Linked DNA regions of Oreochromis niloticus. The protein of the gene in region 3 purifies or fractionates together with the protein of the main gene of each other region. This does not show direct contact. Links are inferred from orthologs where the notes say so. Each region holds a gene or a part of one and is shown on either strand. Other genes may lie near its edges. The genes, in order: asb7, rab40b, rnf7 and asb1.

The links.
Region 1: the proteins of rnf7 (region 3) and asb7 purify together in Homo sapiens (co-immunoprecipitation; 4 studies listed by BioGRID and IntAct, with this or other methods). This does not show direct contact. The link is inferred for Oreochromis niloticus from reciprocal best matches to the Homo sapiens genes RNF7 and ASB7.
Region 2: the proteins of rnf7 (region 3) and rab40b purify together in Homo sapiens (affinity purification with mass spectrometry; 3 studies listed by BioGRID and IntAct, with this or other methods). This does not show direct contact. The link is inferred for Oreochromis niloticus from reciprocal best matches to the Homo sapiens genes RNF7 and RAB40B.
Region 4: the proteins of rnf7 (region 3) and asb1 purify together in Homo sapiens (co-immunoprecipitation; 3 studies listed by BioGRID and IntAct, with this or other methods). This does not show direct contact. The link is inferred for Oreochromis niloticus from reciprocal best matches to the Homo sapiens genes RNF7 and ASB1.

Annotation. Positions count from the first base shown.
Region 1 is NC_031965.2:5,046,737-5,054,285, reverse strand, and holds the start of asb7 (ankyrin repeat and SOCS box protein 7), read right to left. Parts: upstream 3,018-7,549; 5' UTR 2,755-3,017; intron 2,706-2,754; exon of another isoform or gene 2,458-2,705; intron 2,066-2,457; 5' UTR 1,968-2,065; intron 1-1,967. Other genes in the region: lins1 (protein Lines homolog 1), read left to right, coding at 3,531-3,917, 3,993-4,082, 6,173-6,305, 6,620-7,210. UniProt on the Homo sapiens protein: Probable substrate-recognition component of a SCF-like ECS (Elongin-Cullin-SOCS-box protein) E3 ubiquitin-protein ligase complex which mediates the ubiquitination and subsequent proteasomal degradation of target proteins.
Region 2 is NC_031973.2:1,795,081-1,802,960, forward strand, and holds the start of rab40b (ras-related protein Rab-40B), read left to right. Parts: upstream 1-4,864; 5' UTR 4,865-5,267; coding exon 5,268-5,409; intron 5,410-7,880. UniProt on the Homo sapiens protein: RAB40B small GTPase acts as substrate-recognition components of the ECS(RAB40B) E3 ubiquitin ligase complex which mediates the ubiquitination of target proteins.
Region 3 is NC_031979.2:12,352,755-12,358,376, forward strand, and holds rnf7 (RING-box protein 2), read right to left. Parts: upstream 1,587-5,622; 5' UTR 1,531-1,586; coding exon 1,365-1,530; intron 1,264-1,364; coding exon 1,216-1,263; intron 820-1,215; coding exon 701-819; 3' UTR 503-700; downstream 1-502. UniProt on the Homo sapiens protein: Catalytic component of multiple cullin-5-RING E3 ubiquitin-protein ligase complexes (ECS complexes), which mediate the ubiquitination and subsequent proteasomal degradation of target proteins.
Region 4 is NC_031987.2:3,877,427-3,884,384, forward strand, and holds the start of asb1 (ankyrin repeat and SOCS box protein 1), read left to right. Parts: upstream 1-3,945; 5' UTR 3,946-4,178; coding exon 4,179-4,275; intron 4,276-4,926; coding exon 4,927-5,065; intron 5,066-6,958. UniProt on the Homo sapiens protein: Probable substrate-recognition component of a SCF-like ECS (Elongin-Cullin-SOCS-box protein) E3 ligase complex which mediates the ubiquitination and subsequent proteasomal degradation of target proteins.

The DNA.
Region 1 (7,549 bases), on a different chromosome or scaffold from region 3:
TTGTTCTCAGAAGGACAGCAAGTGGACAGCGATAGATGAGATGAGGAGATGGAAGGAGGAAGAGAGGCAAAGAGTGATTCACAGGCAGAGCCTAGTTCATTTCCCACAGTTTTTTTTAATCTGTTGCCTTACGGTTCCAAGCACTGTCACCGATCTTTGCATTTCATTATTATCTCACAACACAATCAGCTACCATATCTCCTACAGACTTTTTAAATGTCTACAGTGTCAGATCAACACAGCCCTGCCCTCCAGCACTATCAGCAGCAGGAGCAGCAGCAACACCTCAACAGCAACATTGTACCCATCAGGCAAGAAATGGGCTACCTTTGCTTTGCCTTATCCCCACCTGATAACAGTGATACAGTATGATGCGAATCCATATTAGATTTTTGAAGAATATGGGTTGTTGTTATTCACTCTGGTTCCATGTGCCCCTTTTTAACTTTCAGCACCCACCCCTTCAAAAATCTCTACACAGCCCTGGCTGTCAATAAGGGAAATGGCTACAAAGAACAATGCCGTGGTCCCAGAGTCTGCCGAAAAGCGACAGACCGAGCAGGAGGTGTATTCTTGCCTCGACACCCACCTTTGTTGTAGCGTTTGTGTTGCATGTTAATTACGTCACAGGACACTTGGACGTGTTGCTATGACAATGAAAACACACATTAGGTTGTACTTGATTATAATGGAAAACCAGTTAATCCAAGTCGAGTCGTGGCGATTCAAACCGAGCAGGTACTAATGGGAAAGGAGCCTATCTGATCTTGAGCTGCTTTTCTGCTTCTCAATACTTTTCCCATCGCTCTGGTTAAAGTTAATCTTTGTTTTATGTATGTACCACACTGTTGATCTGGCCACTGCCAAATTTCTTACCATCTCTCTCTGGTTTATTGTGTTTTTTTTTTTCCAGCCTAGTGATGGTGTACCTTGTATGCACTGCCATCTGTCTGAGACTTATATTTAAAATTGCAAAACTACAAATACAAAATCAGCTCTATGAGTCAACTTCAGGCATCTGCTTCATTTGCGATGACATAGCGAGGAAACTGCTTTGGAGACAACTGTCCAGTTAATTTTAAGCATCTAAAAACAGGGGACTGCAAGAAAAGGGTGTAAGCCGCCTCTTACTGTACTGCAGTTGGGATAGGCTCCAGCCCCTCCATCACCCTAAATTTCTCAGCAGTTAATCCAAACTCTGAAAAAACATAGACTTAAAGCTCAAAGTCTGCACTTGAACACATTTGACTTAAAATCCAGACTGGTGGAATATAGAGTATATTTTCTACTCTGAGCACTCAAAATGGGTTATACAACTTGCCTCATTCACACAATCATACTATACTGTTTCTATCTAAGCTTTCTATCTAACATTCACACGCATTCACTGACAGATGCATCTTGCCCAAGGATATTTGGCACGCAGACTGGAGAGATGAGGATTGAACCACCAACGTTCTGATTAGCAGGTGCTCTACCACCTGAGCTACACCAAAACTTCAAAAGACCATCAAATCAATTTTTTATTAAATTATTAACATTTCATTATTGCTGTTGTGATTTGTGATAAAAAATCATTGAATTCAATTTAAAGATTTGGTTGATCTCAGAATTGCACAAATAATTTATAAAGCAGCAAACAAATCTTTACTCCACGACATTCAGAACTTTATTAATTTAATTCAGTCTTACTGAATAAAAAGCAGAAAACTTGGAATTTAAATATTAAAGAGACAAGACTATAAAAGTTGTATATATCCCCACAAAAATGTAATTATAAATTAAGTTGTTTGAAAATGTACATGTGAGACAGTCACTTTTTTGCTTCAGCTAACAAAGGCTTAACCATTACTTGATAAAGAGGTCTAGCAAGTTTTTTGTGGTTTCCTTGTTGGGAGAAATTATGCTGCTGTTAAAAAAAAAGAAAGAAAGAAAGAAAAGCTCATGTTTTAGATACTAAAATGTACCTTTTGACCAGCTGAAGAGATGGACTTCTTTTAGTCATATCAGAGCTGCATTTGCAGATGTACTGGTGCACACTGTGAGGAACTGAGAATATGTTTCCCTGTGGCACACAAACACAGTCATCAAAAAAAGATTAGAGGCAATGAAGAGTATTGTGAACACTAACGGACATAGTCAATTGGTCATGGATACACCCCAATTATTGCTGAAAACCATAACAGCCAAACAATAGTAATAACCAGAGAGTTAAATACAAAAAAATAATTATATGCATATACACTACCCAAAGGTAAACTTGCTAATTACACTATTTTTATCCAACCTGAGAAAACTTTGCAAATGAATGAAAATGTAACTATCTGTCATTACCTTAAACCTTAAAAAGTTTGGCTCGTTAAACTCGTTTATGAGAAACAATAGACAACACTGTGCCTTTATTTGCTAACATGACCAATAATACAAAACACGCACAAGTATACAGATATAACTTACAGAAGCTCGGCGGTGAAGATAGCTCATTTCCACCACCCCAGAAAGTGTAATGAAAGTAGATCCTTTTAGAATAACCCATGGTTTACGGCTGTACGTTTCTTAGAAGGTTAGCTGCAGCTAGTTAGCCAGAAAGCTAACAAACTCATTCGCTCGTTTTTAATTTTATTTCGCTTCATTTTACTTTTTACACTATTATAATTGGGTAGAAATAAACCCCAAAACACGGCGTGTGTGGATATTAAAAGGAATTCTACGCCTTTATTGACAAAACAGCAGCTCTATAAAACAAAGACTTACTTGTCAGACGCTGAACCGACGTGTAACTGAGCCAATCAGCTTTCAGGTAGACGGAACGATTGAAGTTGTCAAAGCCGCATAATTCCGTTACTTTCAGCACAAATACAATACTAAACAAAGAAGCTAGTGTCAAACTTTTATCTATATCTTTGTAGGTAATGACAAGAATAATCTAACTGTCCAACACTAAGACTTAATCACAGAGTGTCTGCGAAGAGCTTCACCAGCGTGACTCCATCAGCAAAAACAATAACACTTCCGTCTGCAGACTTTCACAATATAAGCATAATTTCCACAGCTCCAAGCACGTCAAGAACTACCATTTGCAAAGCAGACGTATAAAATGAATTTTTGGATGCAATTAATTTAAAATAAATCAGAAAGGCAAGGAAGCGTGCATATATGATGATGCTATACTGATCAATCAATTTGCAGATTAATGATCATAAAACTAACCTCACGGCCCATTGTTATTCAGTGGAGCTAGTTTCCATCATTATTCTGCAGTCAGCTGAGATTAGTGGTTTGGATGAAGAAACCTTTCTCCTACAGAAAACGTCCAGTTTGACGGAATGAACTTTCTGAAAATAGACACATTATATAAATCCATGGTCATTAAAGTAATTAAAGTGCTATTATTATATTCACTATTATATATTTCCCACAATGTAAAAACAACAACAACAATATAAGGTTCTATTTTCATTTATTAGACTTTTTTATTTTATTTTGGTAATGCTTCACGTATTTTGTAGGGCTGCTTCCGTGTATATCACATGGGAGATCCACGCGGAAGTAGCAGCGCAATGGAGGGTAATATGAGTTGTAAAGACGAAGACCTGTCCATAATGACAGGGCTTTTTAACTGTTTGACAGAAGCGTACAGATGCTTTCTTGCGGGATCGTACCCCCCCCAAAATGCTGCCGATGTAGCGAGCGTAATATATTCGGGATTATGTGGACCTGTCCACGGTAAAGACAGAGAAGGTTCCCCCTCAGAGTACTGCGGTGAAAAGAATGCGGAGCTGACCTGCATGTGCATGTCTTTCCTCGAGAGGGTTTCTTCTAATCTGACGTCTCAGGGGCTGCATCCAGACGTTAAGTTTTATTATGCGGAGGTCCTAAAAGTATTGCTTGAAGACATGGATCTCATCACGCACCTTGTAAGTGCTACCACTGGTCATGGGAGTAAAGACGTAAAGTTATCTTAATAATTGATTTAATTACCTTTTCCATAGGTAAACCGGTTCCAAGCCGAGGACCACATTATCTCACATCTGGCTGCAAAGACAGCATCAAAGTGTGTTTTTTACCTTATCTGCAAATCTGTAAGTAGTCATTCTTTGGAGATTCGTTTTCAGCAACGTTTTTTTTTCCGTCTCTGAGTTGACTGAAACGCTTTAGCCTACTGTAAATCACATACTATTAAAAAATATGTAACACTGTTCATTGTGTATAATGTTAAGAATGGTGAAAAAAGCAAAGTTTTAAAGTAATGTAAAAGGAGACACCAGAAGGGTCTAGATGTTTCTGCTGAACAAAACAAGAGACTGTTTTTCAAAAGCAACGATGGAGAGTGCACGTTATTCACCAATTTACGAATGAAGCTCAATTTCTAAACTCAGTGAATCCAGAGAAATGTATTGTGTGGTTCAAAGGACAGCCTTAAACTGACCAACCTGGGATGCCCTACTGAAGGGCATTGAAGTTTGGGGTGCTGAACTGTGGTGGCGACAGAGGGTAAGCTCTAAGATATAAAAGTGTCTTGTCACAATAAAACTACCAGACCTTGCTGCTTACATGAGGCAAGAGTAAATAACCAAAACTGAAATTAAGTTGTTTGCACAGCTGAGCAAATTATAGGGGCTTAGAATATTTTAACACAGATGCAATAATAATTAAACCCCACGGGGCACACATGTCAGGCACAAACACAGGTGAGCAAATTCATTATGAAGTCACTACAAGTCCCAAGTACGAGGTTTCTTAAAAAACAGCAGTCAAGATATACAACAAACCTTTCTGGCACAGTTAAACAGAACCTATCCAAATTCAAATAATATTTTACTCGGGCAGAAAATGCTAAATTTAAAAAGACAATTGAGTACTGTTTTGCTGCAAAGACACATCCTATGTGAAAGTGCCTTGAGGTATCATAGTGACTAAGATGAACAGGGACATGGCTCAATATGTGAGCGGGGCCAGAAAGGAATTGGCAGAAACACCAGAAGGGCAAAACTTCAGCAACTGGTAGCTGGAACATTCACTCAAGACTAAGACCAGACTGGCCAACCTGTGCACCACCTGGACTTACTACGAGAAAGCCTATGACTCTAAACCTCACACATGGAACCTGGAATTCATAGAGCTACACAAAATGAGCAGAACCCTAATAGTAAAAAAAGAGAGGAAGTGCAGTCCTCTAAGGTCTATCAGAAGGCAACACACTGAAAATAGCCAATTGGGAACCATGAAAAGGCTACTAGGAAAGCTACAACAACCCAGCAAGTAAGGCAAGTCCTGAGAAGTAGCTGAATGGGAAGAACAAGATCAAGGCAATCGCCACCTACTCCCAAAGGAGGAGATCAAATCCACTGACATCAAGACAACGAAGCTTCTTACTTATGCATGTAGGGTTTCACCCCAAATCTAGCCCTCTGAGACTGTACGCTGAGCGGAGGGAAGGAGACCAAGTGCTAGTGAGTGTCAGAAGCACTATCCAGGATGAAACAACAAAGAGCCACATGATCAATTGTGGTCATCAGGAAGATGTATAGTACCATATCACCCCAATGGAGCACTTTGCTCTCAGATTGCAGATTTACTTGTGGTTACTGGGATATTTTAAAGTAGTATGCAAGGCAGAACTTTCAGGTATCAGGCACCTTTTCTGTGGACCCAGCTCCCAGCTTGGATTTGGGAGACAGAGACCCTTTCTACTTTTAAGATTAGGCTTAAGACTTTCCTTTTTCTGAAAGCTTATAGCTACGGCTGAATCGCGTGACCTTGAATCCACACAGTAGCACTAAACAGTAGACTTAGGCTGCTGGGGTTCTCTCAAGATGCACTGAACGTTTCTCCTTCTCTTACCCTTTTTTACTCACCATCTCCGGCTCTCTTCCACAGCATGTCTTTTATCTAGTCCCCCGCCCAGACTGGTCATGGCAGATGGCTGCCGTGACCTGGTTCTGACGGGTTGGACAACAGTGGAAAGGAACTCCCTTTTAAAAAGAAGGTTGAAAGGGAGTTTTTCCTCCCCACTGTTGCCAAGTCCTTACTCATAGGAGGTTATCTGTTAGGGTTTCTCTATAAAATTTTAGTGTCTTTACCTTTCAATATTGAGCGCCTTGAAGTGACTGTTGTTGTGATTTGACAGTTTAAAACTGAATTTAAGCGCTTGTATGCTTAAATTTCTTAGGGAGTTATCAGTCCTGTCTGGCAGAGGAAATGTGAACAAGCATTTCAGAACCCATGGCCTGGTGCTGAATTAGATGCCTGTTTGTGGTCACTGACTGAAGTCTCCAAAAAACTTCTTAAAGGAGCTCATCGAGGTAAACGGTGTTAGTAATTTTAATTTTCAAAGAGTCCAAAATCCACGATATCTAGGCTATAATGGTAACAAAAATACAGAAAATGAGCAAATTATCAAATTGTAGAAACTGCAGCCAGAACATTTTAAGATTTTGAACATTTCAATGAATTTACTTAAAGATGAGTTTGTTATTGAAATTGTAAATAAAATCATTTGTTCTTTAGCTAGGGTAACTCATTGGGGTAAGATATGGGCAGAAAAGAGCAACCTATGATGCTTACAGGATGATGGTTGATTTTGTCTAGTCTCACATTTTTTTTCTTCTTCCATTAGAGCTTATGACACTTCTGGCAGGTTTTGACCTCAGTCTAAGTGTTCTATGTTCAAAACTGCTCCCTGAAGAGAAGAAACACATGTCACAGCATTTAGTGGATTTTACCAGAAGCACACACTGGGGAACATCATTATGTCTACTGCTAGACCTGCTTGAGGTGCTGACTTCTTCTAGTTTGGTATGTGGAGCTGGTGTCCATTTGAAGAGTCAGAGAATAACCCACCTTCACTCGTTGGCCCTCCTAAACATCTGCTCCTCCTCAGAGTATTATGTTAAAAAGCGAGTGCTGCTTCTTCTAAAGAGAGCAATCCTTCAGAAGGCTGGAGAGGACTGGATTTCAGGGGATGTGGCGTCATGGATGACATGTGGAAACTGGAGCTCTGATATGAGCATTCTTGCTCGAACTGTGTTAAAAGCAGCTTCTGACAATTGGTTACTGAGTATTCAAATGCAGTCTGGCGCTTTCTTTGGAGGAACCAGGCACATTCTGGGAGATCAAATTCAGAACTGGGATTGCGTGATGCTGAGAGCTGTCAGCCTGATTATTCTCAAGTCCATAGAGCTTTGCATCCAAACAGCTGCAGGATCAGGTGAGAATAAAAAAACAAAAAAAAACAAAACATCACCAGTAGATATACACTTGAGATTGTGTGCAGCATGTTTGATGATCTATAATTTTTGCATAAGTACAATTAAAGGTGTTGCTGAACTTTAAACCAATTAAATTAAAAACAAATCATTTGAAGCTCTTCTTTTTGATAACCGTGATAGTACTGGGTTAGCAAACGACATAACTTCATAGGATTTTTTTTTCTCACCCAGAAATCTCAGCAGCACATTCAGTGGTAAAACAATTAAAAACAAACAAACAAAAAAAACGCTGAATGTTTCCCCTCAGTGTCTGTTCTCTCCCCCTGACCATTCAAATC
Region 2 (7,880 bases), on a different chromosome or scaffold from region 3:
AGCTTCTGTTAATTAGGGGGACATTGGGTATCAGTGATCTACATAACGCTAGAATCATTTTCTTTTTAAAAATATTCTTGAGGATCAGTTAATCTCTTGAAAGAACGGCTAAAAATGTAGTGATGGTTGTTGGTTGTTGTTCCAGTAAAGCATTTATCATTTTTCTCGCATGTTCCTGTCAACAGCTGTTAATGTGACAAACCTAAAATAATGTCTGTGTGAAATTTACTGTATATGAATATCAAAGTGATGCAACAAACAAATGTCACGGCAGTTTGGTGTGACACTGACACCTGCTGGATGTCATCAATAAAGCTGAATCCTGAGTTGAACACTGTTTGCTGCTTCCTGTTTGTTGGATACCGAAGTCAGGAGTTAAACTTTATTTAAAAATCATAAAGGAGAAAAGATAAATTCAAAGCTTTAAAGTCTGACCTCAAACAGTCCTGACAGGTTGAAAGGATGTTTTCATATTTACAGTAGTCACTAATTTATATCTGCTGTTGCTGTTATTTAGGGTGACCAACCGTCCTCTTTCCCCTGAACATGTCCACTTTTCACGTTCTGTCCGGGGCGTCCGGGGGGATTTTCGAGGTTGATAAAAATGTCCAGGTTTTCCTGTATTCCGACAGAGGACCCATGTGTGTGACGTCATCCCCAAACTGCTGTTTTGTGAGCGCTTGTTCTGCGCTCACAGACGGGACAGACAGCACGCAGCAACGCGCCTAATGATGTTTCATCTTTCAGACGAACTGCAAAAGAAATTTCCCTCGTACCGACCACAGCTGGACTGGCCACCGGTGGGCCGATGGTGATTTTTCGTTTTTACGGACTGATGGTTTTGTTGTTGTTGTTGCTGCTGCTGTAACGGTATAAACAACAAAAGGTGATGGATTGGCCAGATGCTGGCCAATGTGTAAAAAACAGTTGTTTGGTGGTGTCTATGGTGGAGCTTCCACAGAGGCCAGCAGGTGGATGAGGGAAAGGGGAGGCAGGAGGAGGAGAGACCCGAGGCGGCCGCCAGTCCGAGTGTCAGGCAATGTTCCCTCTAATTCACACCAATGTGTGAATGGGTGGATGACTGGATGTGTAAAGCGCTATACAAATACAGACCATTTACCGTTTAATTTTTCATGTGTCTGAGCGAACACACAAACTCCCTGAGCGTCCCTTGGACCACTGTGAGCGACATCAGACGTGTGCACTGTGGTCACGCCAGCATCTAATCCATCCAAGTTACATGGTTTATTAAAATGATCAAATCACAGCATTTACATTTATGTTAGACTACTTTTAATTAACTGCTTTATCCCACTTACAATGAAAATTAAAAAAAATCCTGTTCATGACCTGTGTAGTATGTTAACACTATTGGAAGTAAAAATAACTTGAACTCCAATTTTGAAAACACAACTTTCTTTCTTTTTTCCATAAAGCTCTGACTTGTATTATGAGTCTGTGGTCTGGGAGAGAGTCCTGTAACTCTGTCTGCAAAATACAGTATATAATGACCAATGTTGGGCAATTAATTATATAGTTACTACTTCAAAAAAGTAACTCAGTTTGGCAAACAACAAAGTTTTTTGCAGCTATTTATTTTTTTAAATGCAGCCAAGGCGTTTTTAAATAAACATTTCAAACTATTTACAGAACAATCAGCTGTTCTGCATCAAATCTGATGCCACACAAATTATTTGTGCCACTCCAAAAATTAATTTCTGTCCACTATGAGATAAAGGAGAACAACAGCCTGATACCTGCAGGCCTGACAGCAGGAGATGTATCACTGCTGTAACACCTGTAACATTCAGCAGCCGCCTCATTGTTCTGACACACCAACAAAACTATTGACTACACTACACACTAACTACACACTAACTACACAAGATTTGCACTAAACGTCTCAAATCTCTCACATCTCAGAACACCGCCGTCACTCCTAAAACTTCCCCCTGTTTCTTAACAACTAGATGCCACGTTGCCATATCATTTTTTGATTGGTCAACACGTACTTTTTTGGACGAATAGGAAAGGGTGGGGGTTTTTGGTTTTGTTTTTGCTCACAGGCTTTCGAGCGTTTTCCTTATAAAACGCCGTTTTTGCCGTTTCTTCCCGCAGTAAATATAAACAACGACAGTATTCAGGAAGAAAACCAAACATTGCAGATATTTTTATCATAACTCTGGTTTTACGTGGCCGATCAACACAATTTAAAAACTGGTATAAAGTCCACACTTTGTCCGTCAGTTGTTCCGTCTGTCCTGCTCACATCTCCAATGGTTGGACACGTTGTCATTAATGTGGCTTCACTCCACATCAGCCATGCCGCTTTGCTCGCTAAAACACCGGTGTCGGCACATATTTACTTTAATTTCAATTCAGGTTAGATTTTTTTTTTTGGTGTGCGCAACGCAGATTTTCTCTGTGCAGAGACCGTGCCAACAGTGCGCAATTGCGCACGTGCGCAGCTTAGAGGGAACATTGGTGTCAGGTGAACTGAACTTCAGGTAAGAAGTTATGACCTGCAGTCTATCTGGGTCAGATATAAACCAAGTTTAGGTGGAGTTTATTTTCGTTGTGCTGACTTTTTACAGTCAGTTACAATAACTCGTACTGCGTGCTAGCTAGCATGACGGAGTTTCTACACAGCTGGGTGGGTGCTGTGATGTTACTGATAGTGATATGATATCGGTTTGGATATGTGGTGAGAGGGAAACGTAATGGTGGATAACAGGTGTTATTCTAAAAAACGGACGGAGCAGTGGAGCAGCCAAGGGAATAGAACGATATAAAAACTGTATCACTAAAATATAATTTATTATACAAAAACAGTTAAAAATTTAAAAGCAATTAAAACAACACTGGCCACGGAGAACACACAATAAAAATCAATAAAACATAAACATTAAAGGTCCAGCGGCGTCCGCCACGGCGTAAAAGTCACTAAAAGTCAAAATCCAGCCAATCGGAGCGGGGCAAGGAAAACCCGGCGGGGTCCTCACCCGTCCTGGCAGTCTCTCTGCTCAGAGGTGCTGGAAAGAGAGGGGCAGTGACAGTCACTGTTCTTTCCAGTGGCTCGGTTTATTGCAGTACGATAAGTCGCGAGACTTATCCCGGATGGGCAGAGCTCCTAACTCTGCCCGCCGCTTTTCTGTAGCACGCCAGCACTATGGTCTCGCCGTGGGAGGTAGGGCGCTGTCCCACTGCCAACTAATCCCCCACCATAGCGTCCTCTGGCCTCCAGCTATTCCCGCAGCAGCACAGCTCCCTCTGCCTCTACGCTCACTGGCCGTCGTATGCCCTCGCCACGTACTGCACACCAACCTCCACCAACGCCGTCCTCCTGCGTCTCCGAGCACTCTCTCTAAATCACCACCGGCTGTCACCTCTCAGGTGTGTCAAATTAGTAAACAGGAAAGGGCGGAGTCTCTCCAGGACAAGTTAACAGATATAACCAAAACATGAAATACAAAAAATAAATAAAAACACTCCACATTGAAACACAGCAAAACATGCAAAGCAAAACAACTTCAAAACAAAATCTGTCCTTCTCTGGATGACAGAAACATGCAGATGAAACCAGGAGATGTCCTTACTGAATCATCAGAGTTGAACAGGTGATGGAGAAACAGGTTTACCTTTTAGGTGACATGGATGAGTTGAAGTTATGAACTGTTTCTGAGAGACAAATAACACCAGGATCCTTTTCTACGTAGCTGACAGCTGGTAACTGTGCAGGGGCGGGTCTAGCAAAGCTTTGCCAGGGGGCCAGGTAGGGCATTAACAGGGAAAGGGGGGCACAAGGAAATACTTTTCTTTCTTACTCTCATTTAAAATGTCTCGCTTTTAATAAATAATTATCTGAATCTTACAACCAAAGTTTTTATCTGATGTAAAATGTATAGAAATCATACATATACCAACAAGACTGTACATCACTGTCACAACAGGGTTCATTTTCATTCAAAGGCTTTATGGCTTTTCCTATAATACCTGGTGGGCCGGTCTCTAGTCAAAATGCCCGGGCCGAGTTTTTTGTCCCAGTCCAGCCCTCATACCGACCCAGTACTGGTAATTTTTCTTATGCAGATGAGGCATTATTTCTGTACCATTATTTAATTCCAGAGGTTTTTAAGTTTTTTGGGGGGTTTTTTGCACTTGTTGACTTGTAAAAGCCTATATGACATATTTTATTTCACAATTCATTAACCGCACAGAGAAGGCATCGTTTAAATATGTTAAATATGTTTCTTTAAACAAGTTCTTCATGACTGAGCTAAGTGTCCTCTTTTTTGGAAATCAAAATATGGTCACCCTACTGTTATTGTGCCTCGGCCTCGGGGAAACCAGAGCACAACACAAAAAAGATAACTCCCCCACTCCCTGCTCCCGGGGAAGGACCCACCCTGCCACAGAGTTTGTGGGTTTACTGCAACCAAATATGTCATTCATCTTTGTCAGGTTGGGCAGGGTCAAAACAGCCAAAACAATGTTGTTGAGGTGACTGCTGTTATGAGTTGGTGCTGTATAAATAAAATTGTCACACTTTCAGTCAGTGATTGGTAACTCGAGTATGAGCTGATGGAGGAAAACTTCTTCCTTTGACTGCATTAAGACATTTCCAACAGTCACTGCTTCACAAAACTCAGAGAGATGCAGAAGGACATCATAAAATATCTCCTGTAAATGTAACCTCAGTCTGCTCCGAGTGCTGCACTTGTTGATCTGAACATCGGCCTCATCAAACCCAGAGTGGTGTCTGTCAGAAGGCTCATCTCTAGACTGTTCCTATGTAAAGCATCTCTTCCGCCCAGCCGCTGTCATGCTTTTATTTTCTCAATCCAAACAGGAAATAGTTGCCTTTTCTATTTCTGTTCAGCTTGACGTCACTTAGTGAGCCAATCGCACAGCTTGTCCCACTCGCTGATGGACGTCTCCAACGTCCAATCCTGACTCAAGGTTGCCCTAGCAACTCGGACGATTGCCCAATCAAACCGAGATAAACACCCTCCCTCACATCTTCAGCTGGAGCAGGGAGGGGGGAGGCCAGATATCCATGAGTTGCTCCTCAGTCCGGGAGCAGACCTGGACTTCAACCTGCAGAGGATTTTTACCGTTGTGCGTAAAAGCGCGCCGATGGCACAGCTGGACGCGCTCCGAGCAGCTCCTGAACACGCTCCAGTCTGAGTGCGGGTCCTGGGGGGAGGAGAGGAGGAAGCCTGCTCTCATCTCAGGATGGGACACCACAGCCGTCACCCGTCGCCAGCATGAGCCACAGAAGCAGCCCGACGCGCGCCTACGACTTTCTGCTCAAGTTCCTGCTGGTGGGCGACAGCGACGTGGGGAAAGGCGAGATCCTGGCCAGCCTGCAGGACGGAGCCACCGAGTCCCCGTACGGCTACAACATGGGTGAGTGGGGGAGTGGGTTCACCTGTCTGGTGATATCTGTGGAGGCTGCTGGCACCGAGTCCTCCATCAGGAGTCTGACTTCATGTTCACTCAAACTTTAAGCGCCTCCATCAGAGCTCCAGTTCCCCACAGCAGCCTCTCTGACGTCAAAGCTTCGTGAAAAGATTTTATTCTGAGGTGAAAAATGAAAGTTAGTGATTAAAGTTTACAAGAAAAAGCAGTTTTTGTGAAATAAGTTCACAAGTTTATTCTTAAAACTAAATAAATGTATCTAATTTACTTTAATAAACAGCTGAGTGTATTTTATTATTGAAAGCATTTTAACTGGTTCACAAGTTTTACTCTTTCAAAATAAGAGCCATAGTTGTTAAGATATGCATTGTTCTCTGGTGAGCAGAAACCATCCAACCAACTGATGGTTTGGATCCACTGCGTATAAAAACTGGACATAATCACTGTGATGTCACTCAGCAGTAGTGATTGGCTGGTTTCAGAGCCTGCCCCCTGTGGACGTCAGAGGAACTGCAGTGAAGCTTTGTTCTGGGAAGCATTAGAAGCTCCACACACCGTTTTAGTTTGTAATACTGAAGCCGTGTTGCCATGGTCTGTGCGTGTGTGCGTGTGTGCGTGTGTGTGTGTGTGTGTTAGTAAACGCTGGCAGGCAGCTGCTCATGACTCATGCTCGGCCTGCAGGAGGGCGACAGGACGAGTTGAAGCTCTCCAGCTTGAGGCGCTGACACACGATGTAACACGCTGTGCTCACGAGTCACATGACCACACGCTCAACCTGCTGTCATAAAAACAGATTTCATATTTAAATATGTAACGTCCTGCACACGGCTGTCATCTCTCTGCAGAAAAGTCCAAACTGAGCTTTTAGGACCGTTTCATAGATGATCTGAGATCCACCGTGGTCAGACGTGACGTGCAGCAGCAGCAGGTGATGTTACTCACCTGTTTACAGCAGACTCATGTTTTCATGTTTTATACTTGGACAGAAAACGATTTACCAGCAGAGAACAGTCTGCTGGCTCAGGAGATGAGTGAGTCCTCACACACCAAAAAATCTCCCCTGCACATAAAAAGGCCTGCTGACATCACCAGCCACAGCCTGCAGTGAGGAGGTCAAAGGTCACAGATGACAGGCCAGCGCCATGCTTTGTGGATGCAGAAAAACACCCACGTGGTCTCTGAATCATCCTGGATGAAGGAAGGCTGCACTCTCGTGTCTAATTCTGAAGTGAAAGAAGTAAATTCAAAAAATAGAAAATGTATAAAAACTCTGTAGTAAGTTTGATCCAATTATCCTGTTTTTAAAATATTCTACACAGATACACCGTCAGTAATATTTGTGTCTCCTAACAGTGAAATGACATGTATCTGCTGTCCCAGTGATAATAATCAGCTCAGCCTATGTTCATTAATCACTGTGAGACCAAAGCTCAGATCTAAACACTCAGTTTATACCTGTTTTTTATGGCGTTGGCTTTGTATGATGTCATAGGGAGGATATATCCTTATACGGTCAATCTCAGGCACAGAAGCCCCGCCCACTTGCTATTTAAACCTTCTGTTATGAGAGGCAGCCCGCTGTCTCAGTATGAGATGAAGGATTATTCTGAACTGTGAGTCAAGCAAAGAATTACAATATGGAGCAAAATCGTTACTCAAAAAAGTAATCTATTACACATTACTCATTACTTTGCTTAAAAGTGATGCACTGCGTTACTTAATTATGCTGAAGAAAGTTTTTTTGTTCCATTGCTTTCTCATTACTCCGTAAATTGTCCTGAAACACAGTCCCAACGAGGACACAGGTACGGTCTTTCTTTTATTGTTCAGGTATGAAGAAAAGGCAAAGATGGAAACCAGCACAAAGACACTTTGGAGTGGTCACCATGGTGATTCTGAACAGGCAGGAACAAGCTGCAGGCTGACTGCTCATCAGTTTGTTACCTGTTGATGTTCAGGCTCTGCCTGCTGGGCCGGGGTCTGCGTACACCCAGCTTTACTATCAATCTGGGTTCTTGGCTAGCTACAGTGGCTTGCAAAAGTATTCGGCCCCCTTGAACTTTTCCACATTTTGTCACATTACAGCCACAAACATGAATCAATTTTATTGGAATTCCAGGTGAAAGACCAATACAAAGTGGTGTACACGTGAGAAGTGGAACGAAAATCATACATGATTCCAAACATTTTTTACAAATAAATAACTGCAAAGTGGGGTGTGCATAATTATTCAGCCCCCTTTGGTCTGAGTGCAGTCAGGTGCCCATAGACATTGCCTGATGAGTGCTAATGACTAAATAGAGTGCACCTGTGTGTAATCTAATGTCAGTACAAATACAGCTGCTCTGTGACGGCCTCAGAGGTTGTCTAAGAGAATATTGGGAGCAACAACACCATGAAGTCCAAAGAACACAGCAGACAGCTCAGGGATAAAGTTATTGAGAAATTTAAAGCAGGCT
Region 3 (5,622 bases):
GGTCTTCTGCCGCTGTAGCCCATCTGCTTCAAGGTTCAGCACCTGCAGAGATGCTCTTCTGCATACTCTGCAGTCTGACCAAACTCCTCTGACATCAAGAAATCTTCCCAGAATATTAGCATTTTGTGAAATACTCAGATTACTTTGTTTGCCACCAATAATGAGACATTCAAAATCACTTCACCTTTCTTCCTCATTCTGATGCCGTTTGAATTTCTGTAGATCACAGACTACACCTACGTGCCTAGATATGATGATAACAAGCATCTAAACCTAATAAAGTGTTCAGTGAGTCACATCATATCATACACAGTTTATTCAAACTTCTTACTGAAAAAAAAACACATATTACAGATCTTCACAAGTCTTTATTAAAAAAAAAAAAAAAAAAAAAAAAAAGAAGAGAAAAAGGTCACATATTCAAGGTGTGCCAAACACCACCACAGACACCAATGTAAAGCTAACAAGTGACCAAACAATTCAACATATTTCATCCATCTTCTTCAGGACTCCATGAGTAACCAGTCTGTGCAGCTTTCATTTTGTCCTTCCTCTGGTACCGGACTACTGAAAACATGCAATCAATAAGCAGGAGGGCAGCTGCGGTGTCAGCGGCTCCGCACAAGGCTCTGCACTGATCACTGCCAAGTCTGTCACCGCTTTGGGGTGCACGCAGGTGTAATCCACCTGGATGTGCAGCTTATTTGCCGATTCTCTGAACCACCCAGTCCTGCTGGCAGAGGGGGCAGCGGTTGTTCTGCTTCACCCACAGGGACATGCAGCAGTTATGGAAGGAGTGGTTGCACTCTCCCCACACAACTGAAACACAAAGGCAGAGCACGAGTGGCACATATTGAGAAACCATTTACAATAAGCTCAAAACAAAACAAAACACGACAGTCCTATTCATTAAAAGGCATTTACCATGCAAATGTCACTGCAATGCAAAAAAGCACCCCCAAGGATTAGATTAGGTGCCCTTTGACACCTTATATTTATATCAAAATGCTAATAAATGGTCATATAAAATCTCTGCTTTATATTTTAAAAGAAAGAAGAAAGTAAAAGGTTATTATCTTGTATTTTGCCTGACTCAGCGAGTTTGACTAACAGCTCCAACTAGCTACTGTTAGCTTGTTTTTCTTTTCTTTTTTTGGATTAACCTGCCGAGTGTCTGTGCTGCTAATAAATATGTCAGTGCTGGCAGGGTCTTACCAACACAGTCCTCCTGTTTATTTTCCGCCTGGCATCGTAGACACGCATCTGAAAATGAAGAACAATGTTAGAGTACCTCCACACGCCGGGCCGTTCGGGTTTTAAAGGTACAATTAGCCAAGTTAGCTCCGTTAGCTCCTCGGACTCACCCATTACTTGTACTCGGCAAATGGCACAAGTGTCACACTCAACGTCCCAGCTCCACATAGCTACAGCATTCCACTTCTTCAGAGAAAACATCTTGTCCCCACCCGACTTGGAGCCCGACGAAGTATTGTGAGAGAGGACTAAACCCGGCTCGTCGCCGTCATCCATCTCTGCCGCACTGTAAATACACGCAGCTTAGCTAGGCTAAACAAAATGGATGAAACAGCTGGGTGATGCTAGCGCCAGTGCTAGTAGGTTTAGCATATGTCTTGTCTCCATAGAAACAGAAGAGGGCGCTGTTTACCAGGAATTATCCACGTCCCAAAGGAACCGCACACCGACTAGTCTCTGCTTCACTTTCTCATTTTGCTTCTTTACACCTATGTTACATTCAGGAAAAAGTTTAATCTCTGAAATACTGAATGTCCTCAATACTTTATGGTAACATCACATAATTAAATCTTAAGAAGTATATTTAAAGTACTGTGTAAAAGTCTTGAGGCTCCCCCATTTTTTATATTTCTCTAAGAAACTACATTTGAAAATATAAGACCAAAAACAGAATTAGTACAGTTCTAGCGTGTTTAAAAGTCAACTTTTATTTCTCAGCACAGTCTGAACTGTCTTAGGCAAACTTTCTTTTAATTTCTTTAAGCAGTCTTCAGGAATAGTTCTGCGGGCTTCTTGAAGGACATTCAAAGCTCTTCTTTGGATGTTGGCTGTCTGTGTGTCCTGTTCTCAGTTAAAATGATCCCACATTGCCTCAATAATGTTGAGGTTCGGGCTCCGGGGAGGCCCATCCATGATTGATGGGCTTGCAATGAGTGAGTCCAATATGTTTTTACTGTTTAATTATTTTGTCAATTAGATATTTTCCGTGTGGTACTGAATGGTGGATCAAAACATGATGGTACTTTTCTGAGTTCATAATTACACCTATTTTGGTGAGATAATCAGCTGATGGGCCAGCTGTCGGGTCTCGGCTGGATTTCATTGTTTATAGATTTAACTAAAGAAATGTGTTTAAAAATGTTCAGGTACCAGGATTGGACTAAAAATAAATGAAAAAGCAGCCAGTGTACCATGAAATGTTGACAGACCCACAGAAAGCCTGGAAAGCTATTGCTCAAGACCATTTTGAAAATCACTGAAAACCACTTTTGCACATCACTGAACATAAATCATCTTGTTAGTAATATTTTACAAATGTATTGCCTTGACACTGTTTGGCAAATGTTTACTAAAAACAGAAAATTGCTTAAATAAACTCTTAATGTACTCTTTCTCTCAAAAATCTGTTTATATGTATTTGTTGGAGCTTACTTAGATAGAGATTTAATAAACAATGGAGTCAAAGAGTTCTGCCAGCAATTCCAAAACACTGAATCATCCTGAGTTTCAGTCAACTCAGACTGGCATAAAAGGGAAAAGGGAAATAAGGGATAAGCAAAAAGCTGTTTGCTATTTTGCTAAACTGTGTTTGTCATTGTTTTATCGTTTTTTTTATTGATCTCTGCAATAACCAAGAAGAAACTATAACAATCTGTAGGGTAAATATTCAGTGAGCTTTGAACCTTCCATTTAGACCCATATACTGATCAGTAAAGTGTTTACTTAGGTCACAGAGCAACAATTTCAACATCATTTTGTGCAGCAAGGTGTGCAGAAACTGTCAGTTTTTCACCAAGAGATTAAATACACACCGATCAGGTCATTATGACCACTGTCATGAATTACACTAATCATCTCTTCAACACGGCACCTGCCAGTGGTTGGGATGTATCAGGGAGTAGGTGAACACTTTGTCTTCAAAGTTGATGTGTTGGAAGCAGGAAAAATGGGCGAGTGTAAGGATTTGAGCGAGTTTGACAAGGGCCAAATTGTGGGAGCTAGACGACTGCGTGAGAGCATCCCCAAAACTGCAGCTCTTGTTGGGTGTTCCCGGTCTGCAGTGCTAAGTATCTATCAAAAGTGGTCCAAGGAAAGAACAGTGGTGAACCAGCGACAGGGTCGTCCGAACCAACAGATAACCTACTGCTAAACTGCTGAAAAAGTTAATGCTGGTTTTGGTGGAACACAGTCAGAATACACAGTTTGTTGTGTAGTGGGCTGTGTAGCTGCAGACCGGTCAGGATGCCCATATTGACTCCTGTCTACAGATGAAAGCATGAACAATGAGCCTGTGAGCATCAGAACTGGACCAAGGAGGAGTGGAAGAAGGTGGTCTGGTCTGATGAATCACGTTTTCTTTTACTTCACGTGGATGGCTGGTGCGTGTGTTGCTCACCTGGAGATCACCTGGAACCAGGATGCGCTATGGGAAGAAGGCAAGAGCCAGTGTGATGCTTCAAGCACAGTTTTGCTAGGAAACCTCAGGTCCTGCCAACCATTGCTGCAGACTGCGTACACTGATTCATGGAAACGGTACTCCCTGATAGCTGTGGCCTCTAGCAGCACAACAATGAGTTTGAGGTGTTGACTTGGCCTCCAAATCCCCCAGTGCCTCAATCCAATCGAGGAACTGTGGGATGTGCTGGAAAAACAAGTCTGATCCGTGGAGGCCCCGCTTCATGACTTACAGAACTTAAAGGATCTGTTGTTAACATCTTGGTGCCAGATACCACAGCACGCCTTCAGTGGAGTCCATGCCTCAATGGCTCAGTGCTGTTTTGGCAGCAAAATGGGGGCCGCCACAATATTAGGCAGGCTGTTATAATGCTATAAATGACTGGTGTATATAACTCTGTCAGAAAGATTTTTCTGTGTTCTGAATGCATGTTTTATGGCTGCAGACACCTTTCACAAGCCTCCAACAACTAAATGCAGATAACGTTTACCAAACAAAGATAGGCTATGTTTAACATATGACTATACAACCTCTAATACTCCAGTGCAAACACGCAAATGAAGAGAAGCAGTGAAATCATATAGTTCCTTTCCCATCCTCTTCTCAACTCAAAATTTAAAAGCAAGCAGACAAATGCTCCTGAATGATTAAATGTTTGAAGAATTTGAGGGGAAGCTGGAGCTTTGTCTAATGTCAGCACTAAAAGGTCTTTAAATCACTTAAGATACTACTTTTACCTCCTTATGTCACCTCATGTGACATCTCCATAAAATACTTTTGTTTCCTATATCCAGCTAACTGTTGGGATTTGTTTAACAACTGCTGATCAAACTCAGGTCGGTGGGGGACTGGAGCCTATCCCAGCTGTCACTAGGCGAGAGGCGGGGTACATTCTGGACAACTCAGCAGTCTATTATGAGCTATTATGAGCTAACAAGGAGAGGCAATCGTGATGCTCACAGTTACAAGTATGACCAACTTATAATCAGCAATTAACCTAACATGCATGTCTTTAGACTGTGGCAGGAAGTCGGGGTACCCGGGGAGAACCTGTGGAGACACAGAGGGAAGTATGCAAACTCCACACAGAAGTATCTGAACTGAAGACATCATTATGAGGTCAAGGAAGAGTGTGATATCTGTGAGGTCCAATAGGACCCCAAGTATGAGACTGCTGCTCATCAGAGTGAGTAAAAACTTGCAGTCACAATTAGTGCATACACATACAGAGATTCCTTGTTTGTCAGTCAGATGTCACCTTGTTTGTGATCATTTTATTGAAAGTTAGTTTAGGATTATGAACCTGAAAGGACCACATCAGCAGACAGGTCAGGCTCTTTAACATTGCTGCCGGCTCAGCAGCAAATCTACTGTCCTGTCTTGAAGAGCAGCCCCCAGTTAAAATTTGGTATTAAAAACTTATTGGCCTAATTAAAAGACAAATTGTTGTCCATTGAAACATCCTTCAGTAATCTTTCCTCCATTAAATCGAGCTTAAGGCTATGACTCAAAATGGGTAACTTCTGATTTTAAGTAGAACTTTTTGTTTTTTGTTTTTTCAGATACAGAGATCAATAAATTTAGAAATACGAATTAATTCCCTCGTATTTAAACCATGAATTTTAAACACTGGTTCCACACTCTGTGGTTGTATTTAAATGGCTGTATGATTGATATTATTAAAAAAGGCCATAAGTCCCCCACATCTTTTAAAAGACCAGCAGTCTTTCTGTGCAGGTACCCTGCGCAATAGTGAGCACGCCGCTGTCAACGTGAGAACAAGACTGAACCACATCGATATCAAACTTACTCTGAACTGCTCTTCACTTTAAATCCTGATGCATGCTCGATCATCCATTCAGTACCAAGCCAGCGCATGGCTTTAGCTTGCTATTTAAAAACAGATGATCTAG
Region 4 (6,958 bases), on a different chromosome or scaffold from region 3:
CAAAGAAAACCCCCAAAAACGCACTGAATATTCAGGCGGGAGTGGGTTCTCATTCAGAATAATGGTAAGGCCATTTTTCTTGGAGGTGTTGTGGAATTACGGGACCACTTTTGGGTTTTCAGACCAGGAGATGGTACCAAATATATTCCTACTCCACTTTAAGATATTGGTACGAGAAAGGGCCACTTGACGGTTTAAAGGTCTGAAACTGTTCCCAAAAACCTAGATGATGGATTGGAAAAAGTGGATGATGCTGGAGACGTAGCAGCTGAAAACACTGACAGATGAATGAATAAATAAATGCATCTTTATGATCTGCACACTAACCTAACCCAATCTTTGGCCCTTCTTTTGAAATGGTGCCTTTGTGCATTGAGCCAGTGCACAGCTCACAACTTGAACATTACAGCAGAAAGCTGCACATTCATCCACTGGACCAAATTTTAAATGTTTCCTCGTTCATTTAATCACCGAGTTTTTGAGGGCGTGGTGCACTCGGCATGTTATTCTTGTGAGCACTTGATATTTGACATGCAGTTTGACCAGAGTAGTGAGCAGACCCGTAACAGTAATTAAACATACTCACGGCACATCCAGCTGATTGAAACCAGGAGGAACGTTTAGATAGAACGTTTACATTTTCTACAAAACAATCAGACGCTCACAGAGAGGCCTGGAGTGTAGCTGATAACAACGCATGTTACATGAATGTAGTGTCTTGGCATGAATTTGTCCAGTAACATTTTCCAACCTTTTAACATTTCATTGACATTTACAGTTTTCATAAACCAAATCTATCTGTGTTAAATCGAAAAGAAGAAGAAGACAGCTCTGAAATTTTCTCTACAGCAGTTTCACACATTTTATTCAACCATCTGTGAGAACTGTCACAGTCAGCTCCGACATGAAACAGTCTTTACTCTGCCAGCTCACTAGTGCAAAGTCTGTGTAATGTCTGATGTCCCCCTGTGAGAAAAGTAGATGTGAGCGGTGATTTCTGAGTCAGTGAGTGTCACGCATCCTGCACGCTTTACCCAGAGCAAACTGTGAACCAAACTGTGAGCTCACAGTTGTGTGTGCTGCATGTGAGAGAGAACACCACCGACAATATCTGGAGTCTTCGTTCTTTAGCTGTTATCCGAAGGTCATGAGTGAAAACGGCTTGCGCTACTTTAAAAACACTCTTCCACTTTTGAGGCACTGCTGCACTTTGATTAGAGCTGTTTTAGAAAAAAGCTTTTTGCAATAAGCAATGTTCACACTCTGTCGTATTTCTAACTCTTTTATAAATACACTAAGCTTGTATACTTTAAAGGAAAAAAGCAGTGAGCATGCAGGGCAGCCACCATCTTGTACTGTCGTACTGCCAAACTGATAGAAAGTTTTGTAAGCTTTCTCTATACATTGAAAAATATGAATTCATATTTTTCTAGCTTCCTTTGCAACTCGTAAGAAATGCTTTGCACTAACATGAACATTGCTGGACTTGTTGGAAGTTGGATAGTAGAGATGAGAGACTGAAACAAGATCCTGCCTCAGTTTCCCTGAAAATGTTGTTATTGAAAAGGTGAAAAAAGAGTCATCCAAATGTGAATGAAACAAAAGTACAAACTTTGCGTGGCTGCTGAGTGAAAGTGCCGTAACCACACACACACAAAGTAATTTACAGTAATTTTACAGTTTTTAAGACTTGTACACAGCTTGTTATTCTGGTTGGTTCTGCTACACATTTTCTTCCCAGAAAACACAATTACACAGAAAATCACTGCTGGAAAATAACACTTCCTGTGAAATGTAGGTGATTTTGATGAATGGAATCCATTACACCTTTTCTCCATCATAACCACTAAACGCAGTTTTTTTCAAAACTAGATGCTTTATTTCATATGCGATTGTGGCGACTTGTACACTGCACAGCGACTCCCTTTCTCACAAATATTTACACCACCTAAATATTTATTTTCTGCTCAGACTAGGATTTCTGCCTGCCTTACCAAACCTGTGGGTTACCAAACTTGTGGCCGACACAACATGTGGGCTGGGAATCATTGGTGGAAAAATGAGGCTTGAAACTGTGTGTAGAACAGAAAGCCAGTGGGCAGACATTTCTAGGCTCTGATCTTAATTTAAACTGCATTCTTGTTTGTAAGGGGAAAAATATAATGTGACTGTCTTTAAAAAATGTGGCACTCTACATTTTAAGAAGGACTTATCAGGCAAAATACACTGTAGTCTGACTTATCTCCATGTTTATGTCAGTATTATAAAAATAATAAATTGGAAAACCTACAGGAAATGTTAGCATTCTGAAAAATCTCATTTCAAAAATCTCGTCTGGAAAAGTGGGAACCCGCATGCTCATTCATTATATTAAAAGGCTTTTTATCGTGTACACTATAAACTGTACATTATGTATATGTGGAGACTGTATCATAGTTCAAATAATTATATAATTTTGTAGTGGAGTGAAATAAATGGTTACATTGCAATAAAGAATTGTCTCATTTTTGTGTGTTTTTGTGTGCAGTTTGAAGGTGTTAAGCTTGGTCTAGATTATCCCAGAATAAGATTGGTATTATTTTTGTATTTTATTTGATTTTATTTATATGTATTTTTTTTTTTAAAGATTTTTGATAATCACACCCTCAAGCAGACTCTTATGTGAAAGACTCGTCCAGCAGACCCTCCAGTGACACCGTAGCAGCAACTTTCTATGGCAGCGCTGTTGCAGACATCTTTGTAAGACGCCCTTCAGCATCACTTTCACAGCAGCTGAGCCTTTGTTTTGCAACCTGGAGATTTAGCTGAAGCTCCTTTTGCAGAAAGACTTCAGCACACGGTGCTAAAGAAGGCAAGCCTCAGTTGTGCGTGTCTGTTTAACTATGCAGTGCAGGCCTCAACAACAAAGTGACTCAGAGCTTTGTCCTCTGAATTTGTACTAAGCTCAAAAGCTCTTTTGCTTTTGTTTTGAGTTTCACTAATCTTGAAGACAAATGAAAATGAAATGACTTTTGCGACTTTAATCTGTGGATAAAACACACAAGTATCCTGTTTTAATTAAATTATAATTTTAAATGATTGTGTGTGTGAGAACTAACCTGAGTATTTTGTCAGATTTCGTGTTATTACTGACCACCATCACTAACACTATGAAACTAGCTGAAGTGCACTTTCTTAACCATCAGCAGGTTTCCATGTTCAGTGATGGCAGTCTGTAAACAGTCCGTCCTCCTATGGGGCCGCATGGCTCTGCTGACCTGTCCGTTTATTTTTAGAGCACCACCAGGACCTCATGTCTGTCAGCAGGCAGCATAGAGAGCCATAGCTGCCTGCCTGCCTGGTGTATGTTGCCCACCCAAAAATTACTCATTAGTTTTAGCACAGCTGGCAGAATTTCAGCTGCAACTATCAGTTAAACAGAGCGTCTTCTTCGTACTACACACAGATCTCACAAATCTCATATTTGACTTACACCGCAGAGCTATGAACATTCATCAAATTATGCCTCACATTCATTTGAGGTAACGCAGTGGCCTGCTACATTTTTAATTCAGCATAATTAATTCTGACACGTGTCCTGGCGGAAAAATAAAGGATTTTTTTCCACTAAACTTTAATGCCTGGTCTTGTGGTGAGGGCCTTAAAGCAACATGTAGGCGTTTAGGCTTGGAAGTAACACATTTAGTCGATCATAATTATCAAAGTGTGACTGATATTTATTGGAGACTGTGATGAACTTTAGGAAGACTTCTAAATATGATGTGCCCCTAAAGTTTTATGGAAACAAAAGGCATCAAAACCATCTTTTATGTACAGGCTATCAGAAACGCACGCTTGTGAAACATTTTTTGTATTGAATGATTGCGTAATGAACATCGTTTAGGCCTTTGTTGGCGATGTTTTGATCTCTTATGGGTTAAAAGTGCTTTGAAGTCGGAGACCATCAGCTCCACGTTTAACGCAGCGTTTCCCCTTTAAATCCCAGCAGCTGAGCTCAGCCAGGAAGTAGCGCAGTGAGCTGGAGCAGCAGACGTCTTCATCAACACAGTCACGTTTGTTTACGTTCATGCTTCTTATCTGATCCCAGGTCGCTTGGGTTTCTCTATTTCTGGGGACCCAGTGTCGCTCTGCAGCCGCAGCACAAACCTTCAGCTTCACGCTGTGACCATTTTGGGAGCATGGCCGACGGTCCAGAGGCTGATGTTGACGACCCGCCCAGTATCAATTTCCCCCCGCTCATCACCGTGTCCGATCTACCCAGCGCTACAGCTGCAGGTAACTATGGCTGCGAGAGCCGTGAGCGATGATGATTGATCATCGCAAGCACCCACAGGCTGTCCTGCAACTGTGCCCCGTTTGCAAGAGCACGGCCAATATGCGTGACATATTACAGATGTGGTGGTGTTGGGAGAAGGAAGAAGGGGACGGTGTGTAGCCTAATAAGGTGTGGCCAATGGATTCCGGAAGCGTTCACATCTCCAGTGCTGCAGTATAGCAGTGACACTTCATCTGTTTTTCTGTCTAGTCACACAAGTAATAGAGTTGTAATGGATTGATTTGACCAGTAGACTCAGGCAGAAAAGCTCCCGGTAATAGAAAGAACATAGCCTAATGTAACGTGGATCCTTTTAATGTGTATTTAAGGAGCTGTTTTACTGTGTACATCTCAATCTGTGGGAGTTCTCTGAGCACAGCGTGGAGCAGATATGGAGAAAATGTCACTACACCAATGCTGCTCATCTGCAGCCACCTTATGTGTATTTTGTCTATATGATCTATAAGGGAGCTGAGATATAATTTACACTTGATAATATGCAGAATAGTTTCTGCAAAATATCATTTTGTATGGTAACAAATCGCCCTGCAAGACCAGACAAAACCAGCTTCTCATTTCTGTTATTCTCCCTGAAATGCTGTGTTTGGCAGGTCGTAACCTGAAGGAATGGCTCCAGGAGCAGTTCTGCGACAAACCCCTGGAGCAGGATGACATGCGTCTCCACAACGCGGCCTATGTCGGCGATCTGGACACCCTGAGGAACCTGCTGCAGGAAGACGGCTTCAGACGGTGAGGCCGAGCAGTAATAGGAGTATTTGGCACTCTAGTTAGCAAAGTTAACACATGCTTTACTTGGTAAATGATAAAGCAAAACGTCAATACAAATGAAAATGGCAAGGTACCAAAACAAAGGCTGCACTTTGAGGGATGGGATGATATTGCAGACAGAGAGACAACAGAATCTGGGAGAGACTATAGATTTATTTTGTATAAAGAATACAGAATAGTCTATTTGTTAATGTATCTTACAGCAGAACTGTCTTTTCCCCCAAAACAAGTCCAAAGATACCATAATTCCAAATCGTTTTCATAGGAGTAAACACAGACCAGAAGCAGGCTGCTGTTACCATCATCTCACAGCAGGATGGGTGTGTTCCAATACCCATAGCATTATACTGCATACAGCTAGAGGATCATAGTTTAATGCCAATGCAATGTCAAAGCAATATACTACAAATGTAGTGCATGTAACAGAATTTAAATTTGATGTAGTAAAAGTAAAAAGCATACAGTTTACTACTCTGATATCTGTGGAAGCCTTGTGGAGGGAAGCAGCCCTGCAGCAATACAGGAGGACTAAAAATACACAGAGAACCGTTCAGTGGCTCAGTCCAGTAACCACCAAAGCATTGTATTTGCTAACAACAGCAAAATGCTTTGCTCTTGTTAGCTTCAGTCTTTCCTCCTATTGATGCTGTATTGCCGGCAGAATCAGAGCCTGGACTTACCAATTGGAGAACATACAGGGCCATCTCATAGTCATGGGCATGCATGCAATGAGGGAAATAATGATTTGATCCTCTAGTGAACATTTAAATTTGCTCGCTTACAAAGAAATAAACATTCTCTAATTTTAATGGTAGTTTCATTTTAATGGAGAGGTACAGAATATCAACTAAAATCCATAAAAATCATAAATTATTTTCATGTCATTGAGTGAAATAAGTATTTGATCCCCAAGCAAAACATGAGTTAGTACTTAGTGGAGAAACCTTTGTTGACAAGTACAGCAGTAAGACGTAGTTGGTCATCAGGTTTGCAAACATCTCCTCTCCTCACAGAAACTCTCTAAATGCTTTATGTTTCAACTTAAAGCTTCAGCTCCCTCCACAGATTTCCTGTAGGGCTGACGTCTGGAGACTGGCCATAATGTACTTCTTCTTCAGTCACTCTTTTGTAACCTTTGTGGGATGTTTTGTGTCATTGTCATGCTAGAAGACCAATCCAAGTCCCATCATCAGTGTTCTTGCTGATGGAAGATTTTACAGTACTTGGCCTCATCCACTGGACTCTTTAATGCAGTGAAGTTGTCCTATACACTCAGCAGAGAAACAGCACCAAAGCATAATGTTTCCACCTCTGTGCTTGGATGTGTGGATGGTGTTCTTTGGGTCATACTCAGTATTTCTCTTCACTGGCAAACCCAAAGCAGGTTGTTGCATGTGCTTTCCTCAGAGGGGAGAGCTCGCAGATGCTGTGAGATTTCTATCCATTATGGTTTAGTGTGTTACCAGTGTAGGTCACAACTGCCTTCAGACCATTAACATGCTCCTCTCATGCAGTTTTGGGCTGATCCACCACTTTTCTCATGATGATCCTTGGAGCTCCAGACTGAGGGCGACTGATGGTCATTTTATTTTTCTTCAGTTTCTGAATAATCGCACCCACAGGCCTTCCATCTTACCCCTGATGACCTTCGACATCTTTTGGAGAGGTTGAAATGGAAGAAACTGATTGTATGCTCATGTGTGCTTTATACATATAAGAAGCTGAGATCAGGAGTTTCTGTTATTGACTGAATGATTGTATTCTGTAGGAGCCAGAATGCTGGCTGGTTTGTAGGGGATGAAATACTTACTTCACTCAATGACATGGAAATGAAATTATAGCTTTTATGTAATG